Linked DNA regions of Daphnia pulex. The main gene of each other region encodes a partner of the protein of the gene in region 2 in a complex. Links are inferred from orthologs where the notes say so. Each region holds a gene or a part of one and is shown on either strand. Other genes may lie near its edges. The genes, in order: protein pelota-like and protein HBS1-like.

The links.
Region 1: protein HBS1-like (region 2) and protein pelota-like share a complex: the UniProt entries of both Drosophila melanogaster proteins name them as parts of the pelota-HBS1L complex. The link is inferred for Daphnia pulex from reciprocal best matches to the Drosophila melanogaster genes HBS1 and pelo.

Annotation. Positions count from the first base shown.
Region 1 is NC_060025.1:2,076,634-2,080,652, forward strand, and holds protein pelota-like, read right to left. Parts: upstream 2,610-4,019; 5' UTR 2,503-2,609; coding exon 2,462-2,502; intron 2,399-2,461; coding exon 2,306-2,398; intron 2,228-2,305; coding exon 2,077-2,227; intron 2,008-2,076; coding exon 1,753-2,007; intron 1,686-1,752; coding exon 1,463-1,685; intron 1,395-1,462; coding exon 1,202-1,394; intron 1,142-1,201; coding exon 1,035-1,141; intron 964-1,034; coding exon 869-963; 3' UTR 759-868; downstream 1-758. UniProt on the Drosophila melanogaster protein: Component of the Pelota-HBS1L complex, a complex that recognizes stalled ribosomes and triggers the No-Go Decay (NGD) pathway.
Region 2 is NC_060024.1:1,849,528-1,852,020, forward strand, and holds the end of protein HBS1-like, read right to left. Parts: intron 2,426-2,493; coding exon 2,196-2,425; intron 2,119-2,195; coding exon 2,099-2,118; intron 2,024-2,098; coding exon 1,813-2,023; intron 1,740-1,812; coding exon 1,560-1,739; intron 1,484-1,559; coding exon 1,284-1,483; intron 1,219-1,283; coding exon 964-1,218; 3' UTR 942-963; intron 860-941; 3' UTR 750-859; downstream 1-749. UniProt on the Drosophila melanogaster protein: GTPase component of the Pelota-HBS1L complex, a complex that recognizes stalled ribosomes and triggers the No-Go Decay (NGD) pathway.

The DNA.
Region 1 (4,019 bases), on a different chromosome or scaffold from region 2:
ATCCTCCAGATGACATGCAACTCAGCATCCGCAACCCGTCTATACACTTCGTGTAGACCATGAAGTCTACAGACCCGGCAAAAACTAATTAAGGAAAAAAGTTGTAAAATCAATCTACAGCTTTTTGGCTCGTGAATAAAGAACTCGATAACTTCGACAACCTAACTCAACCTAAACTCGACACCTCGATCCGCGCTGGAAAGTCGCTTGATGATCCCCAGTTGTTGAGTACAATTGTTCATGCCATAAATCACTCAATGGCAACCCTATTAACTTTTAGTTCTACTCCTGCAATTGGGACAAAAAAAGTGAAAGGTTGCAAGGTGATCTAATGAAATTGCCGAATTGTTGATGTCGTGAGTCATCTTGAGGTATACGTGCACACTGCACAGCTCAATTTACAGGTTAGATCACATAAATGGAATGGTCTCTTGAATCAGAGAGCAATAAACTTACTGACCGAGATTCCAATTATAACTGAAAACACACAGATATCCTTGTTTCAGACTCACGCCAAACATAGTCACGCCCTGCAATTCGAATGTTTAACGTGTATCCACTTCTAGGCTTTGCCGATTCCAAGAAGAAACATTTACATACAACACGGGGAAGGTCTCATACCTAAAAAACAAAGTGGTCGATAATCTGTTTAAACACAAGTAAAATAAAAAAAAAATTTTTAAGGAAGAAATTAATAATAATTGGTGTGAATATATCCTATGACTAAAAGTCTAAAACATAGTTTTGGCAAAATATTATTTAACAGCAGTGACTTCCTTATTTTATTTACACCTCTAACATAAGTGCAGTGGGGAAATATTTGGACTGGACTTAAAAAAGGCAAGGAATCTCTCGATTGTTAGCTTTATTATTCTGAGTCTTCATCACTGTCCAACGGTTCATCTTCCAACTCTGGCATAGGAAACCTAAGCACTGCGGCCACACCAGTTAACTGCATAAGTTCTGTTTCAAAAGAGATATTGTAGTCAAGTTTCCGTTTTCGTATGATTCAGTCATTAAAGGAAAGCACTTACGTTCCCCCGAAACGTGAAGTGAGGAGAAAATGCGGGCAATACCTCCATTGTCTCGCACACTTTCAACGAGCTTAACGTACTTTTTACGTTCCTCAACACTTTGAGACCTGATAGAACAAGCTGATTAATAATTTGCATTTGAAAGTAGTTTATACTTCAATGTATACCTGAAAAGATTATCGGAAACCAAAAGAGTATCAATAGCTTGACCTTCATTGGCTTTTAGAACGTGTTTCAGGCCGTAGAAGGCACGACTTGGCTCTGTTTGTAGAATTGAATAAAAATTTTCTAGTGCTTTCACTTCGGCCATGGCTTTAGTATCGGCCATTCGCGATGTGACAGCGGGATCGGCTAAAACTTCTACAAAACGTGGAATGTTAGCTGAGAAAAAAAAGTTAAATAATTCATGTTCCCGACCTTGCACTTGCCTTTTAATGAATGTTTAAATCCTGACGAGGCGTGAATAAGAAGAAATTTTGATTTGTTATCGATCAGCATTCGATTATCATTTTTCGAAGCCCATTGCATCATGTATTCAAAGAAATGATCCTTCACAAAACCGGGAGAGGCGAGCAAAATGCATCGGGTGACTTCAAAATTGACGTGCCGAAGAATGGCTTGTAAGACGGTGTCGTAAAACTTTTGTAAACCCTGCGTCATAAATTCAAATGTCAATGCTGAAAATTTTGTAAATAATGAAATCAGGCCTTTAATAAACCTTTTCATGTTGTGATGTGCTTCCTTTTCTCTTACGAGGAATGGTAACATCAATTTTAGCTCTGACAAGGGTCATTGCTCCTGTGACCAGACAGACATTTGCCAAACCTTCATGCATAATAACTGCAGCAACATCTGCATTCTGACTCGGGTCACAAGCCATATCAATGCGTTCAAGGGCCACAACATCCCAGCAAGCTTTGGTTAGCGAAAATTTTCTGTTTGGCTCAATATCAACTGTGTGGTACGCTCCCATCTGAAAGTCAATTGTATGTATGAATTAATTGGTAGATGGACACTAAAATATGAAGTCATTCCATGATACCTTGACATATTGATTTTCTTCTATATTTCTTCCTTTTAACCTTAATACACAGGCCTGAGTATCAAAATCTATGGTTTCAACTTCTATAGTGAGCATTGTCCTTACTCGGCTGCTGGAAGATGAGCCAGTTGCCGATTCAGTTTGGACTTTCCTAAGTTTTATCAAAACAAAAATTTTTGTGATCAACATCGAGACACGTTTGTTTGTATTTGTTTTTAAAGGAAGATACCGAATTGTTGAGGCTCTGATGGTGTCTCCATGAGAAATAAGGTTGTAAGCATGCCACATATCTTCGGGATTCTCGGGGATGAGAGCGACCCGTCTAGAACATAACTAATATTACCAACTATCACAATTGATTTCGGATTTTCGAAGGTACACTGACCCTGTGCCGTCTCTGTCAATATATCTGCTGACGAGTTTCATCTTAAATTAGTTAGATTTAAAGTAATTGAGGAAGATTGAAGTAGAAAGTCAACAATCATGTTTGTGGAACACGAACGAAAGAACGCCATCTACACTTGGTAGGCGAACCGGTCAAATAGTAGAAAAGAAAGACGTCAGATGGCGAAAGTTTGATAAAATTTCAAAATTCAAATGATGTTTTCATTACGTTTGCTTTTAGCGCTTTCTTTGCGGAACGAGTGGCCATGCCATTTTGCATAAAAACAAGCGACTCACAATTTATCTACTATTTCCCTATTTGTCTGGTCTACCGATGACGGTAGACATCAAGCGAATGAAAGAAAAATGAATAAAGAATTGGCTTGATCGCTCAAAGAGTGTCATCCTTGTCTTTAATCTTAGTAGCCCAAGGCCGAACAACACTCACGAAACAAGAATTTTGTTTCATTTCGAAATGGCCGCTTTGCAGCAAGGCTGCGACGGTTTTATCAGCAGCGCCGGCCTTAATGAAATGCAGACATTTTTCAGGGAAAATTTCAGTTGCAGGCATGGGCGTCTTTCGATTTATTTTTGCACGTAAATCGATTGAAAGCGACACGCCTTGTTTGTTGTTCACAAAAGTTGTTGTGACTCCAATTTTTATAACCCCAATCCAAGTTCAATTGCTTGTTACACTTCAAACTAAACTAACCCAACATGCAACAAAGAAAAAATCAGTGACATCATGATTTGAAAGCTGTCGGCTATTAATTGGCTAATAACGTTGCTTTTCTTGGCCAAACAAAGTGTCGCCCACATATTCTACCCCGTTTCCCTTATCTTTCAGGTCGAATGGGCGAGAAATCAAAACAACCAAAACGACCTTTGTTCGTCGTCGTACTGTCGACCAGTTAGAACCTTCCGCGATTGCGTAAATTCATTCCCGCAGCAACTGCACGATGACGTGTTACGTTCGACTTTTTCGTTGGAATAAAACCCCCCACGCTCACAGTACCTTATTTGCTGATGGAACGATTTCCCGTCCAAAAGAAAATGCGGTGACGCATTTTACACACATATTGAGTCTGCGCTGTCTAGTTCCACAGCATGGTCTGCGCTATTAGTTTTTTATCCCGCGTGTAATTCACCTTTTTTTTTCTTTCTTTTGGCAAAACACAAAACTGCCAATAAATGCGTTGAGTGTATAAATCCAGGTTTTCCTTTCACCTTGCATAGCGAGGCGGACATGAAGTGCTGCTGCTGCGTTTATGGGCGTCGCTTGATATTCCATGACGTGTCCGTAATTTCACTTTTCAAAGAGAAGAAAAAAAAGAACTGCAGCAGCAGAAATCTTGTCCCGTTTTGGCATATGCAAGGTTTTCTTTTTCATCCATCAACTCGTCGTTAAATCGACATTATCTAGCGTGATAAGCAGCAAATACGCTTAACAAATCTACCGTCGATATCACAAAGAGGTATTTCGGGTCCAGTTTGTTGGTCACCTTGTTATTTTTCACCAACTTCCTGAAGGCACCATCACGTCATCTTGGCAAATGTTA
Region 2 (2,493 bases):
AAATTTTAACATTTTGTTTTCAGATGGTGCAAGAAACTACAGATGCCTATTTCCGCACTTACGTCAATGGTTTTTCCACAAAAAGGATTGGACGACATTGGGAAAGTTAAATAAATTCAGGTAAAAAACAAAGGGAAATTGACCAAAGCTACTAATAGCGGTGTATAATGTGTACCTCATTATTATTTTATGTTCCAAGTACATTTTTATGCTTTTATTCACCGTCACGTAGTCCCTAAAGAGTCCAAGAAACAACTTCCCTATTGTCAATGTTGAATCTGTGTGAATGTCAGTAGAACCAATGGCGAAACTCCATCCGTGTTTTATAATCGGAAACGTTAGCAACGGTAGCGGTAGCAGCTACTCACCCAGCATCGAGTATAATCGCAGGTCCTAAAAGAAACAAAAAATAATAAAAAGGGTCTTTCTCCCGACCCGCTGGATTCCCCTTGAATCCAATTTTGGCGAGAAAGTATCCATTGTGAAAGCCATTTTCCCTTCGACAATAAAACTGACTGGCTTTGTGGTCTATCCCCTGAAAGTAATAGCTTGGCACTTAGCACTTTGTTGGCTATATACGGCTGATACTGAAATAAATAAATGACAATGTGATTCGACTAGACCAATCATCAATTGAAATAACACGGCAAAACTACGTCAATACCGATCCTTCGCTGTGAATTACCAGGCGCTAGCTGCTTTCTATTCGGTTCAAAGTCGTGTGAAAAACAGAAAAAAACACTTCCATGTCCTCGTCATCTCATTATATTTGGGACCAATGCACAAAAAAACAAAGAAAACCGCAACAAAATTTTCCAGCATTGGAAGCAATATCCATCGCCACCGATTCTTGCCCAATCTAAAAATAGAAAGTGTGCGTTACTGGACATGTCAAACGGCTTGGTAATAAACACAATTAATGCACCGTTTCGATGGAATACCTTAACGAGAAAGTAATTGACGTCACATGATACTCGTGACGAGCCCGGCGGCGATGGTCGTACCGCTTGCCCGGATCATGAATCGACCCAGTTCCCTGTAATCTTTGTAAAGTTCCATGCAGATGGGACGAGAAATTTCAATTTCCACCAGACCGCTGGTTTGTTTCGTTAAGCATCGAGGCCGTTTTCGAATCACTTCACCGGTGCTCTTGTGAATCTGGGCAATTAGTTTGGTGATCGTAGCTGCTTCAGACAGGGATTGATAATGAATCACCACCTGCAGACAATCAAACGGTTCATTTAAAAGAAGATTTACAAATGTGAGAGTCCATTTTATTTTACCGGATAGCCTTTGGTGATGGGGATGTCGACGTTGAATATCACCACACGGGCTTGAATGCGTGAAGTCACTTTAATTGGCTGGCTGGGGTCGCACAAGACAGAGCCAAGGCTGACGTCACTGAGATCAGCACCACTTACAGTCAGCACCACTTGGTCGCCGGCGAAACATGACCCCGTTGAGTTGTCGTTGATGGCGATATCTACAAAAAATAATAAAACATTACACGTTATTTTTTAGGAATCCAATTAGAATAAAAATAATTAAAAAAAGAATACTTTTTATTTGGATGACTTCGTTTAAAGGCATTACTAGAAGTTTATCAGTGGTCTGAATCATTCCGCTTTCAAGACGACCGGCCAAGCAACAGCCAGAGCTACCGACCACACTTTTAAAGATATCACTGATCACGAAGCGAACAGGTCGATTTAGAGCACGTTCCGGTGGTCGAAATTTGTCTACATACCAAAGTTGCAATCGTTAAAACGTACACAGCTGCTAGGCTTTGAAACGTATGGAAATATTGTGTACCGATAGCTTGAAGCAAAGTCGGTCCGCTGTACCACTCGGTGAGTTTGGGCTCGCTAGAAATGGTGAGATTCTCTCCGCTGAGCCCGGAAACAGGAACGTAGAATACATCTTGCTCTTTGTAGCCGGCTTGTCTTAAAAAGGCACCCAAGCGAGCCGAGATTTCATTGAAACGATCACGTGACCAACCCACCATATCCAACTTGTTGACGACCTTAGTTGAATATTCGTTTCAAAGCTTAAAGTTAGAAATTTCGATACATTTTTTATCAAATAAAAATGAACTTACGACTCCCAACTGGCTGACACCTAAAAAAAATCAGACATAAAAATCAATTTCAAACAAGATCAACGGAGTAAAAACACAAAGAATGAATTGATCATACCGAGAGATCGCACGAGGAGAGCATGTTCCCTAGTTTGCCCGCCACTTTCAAATCCTGTTTCAAATTCACCAGTGGTGGCGTCGACAACCAATAGGGCAACATCGGCTTGAGCTGCTCCGAAAATCATATTAGGAATAAAGTCTCGATGTCCAGGCGCATCTAAAAGGGTTATGGATTTGCTTTCCGTTTCAAATTGCGACTGGGCCACGTCCATTGTGATTCCACGTGCTCTAATCAAAAGATACACATTTTCAGCAATTACGTTGCATTGATTGAACACTCTTCAAAAACATTTGCT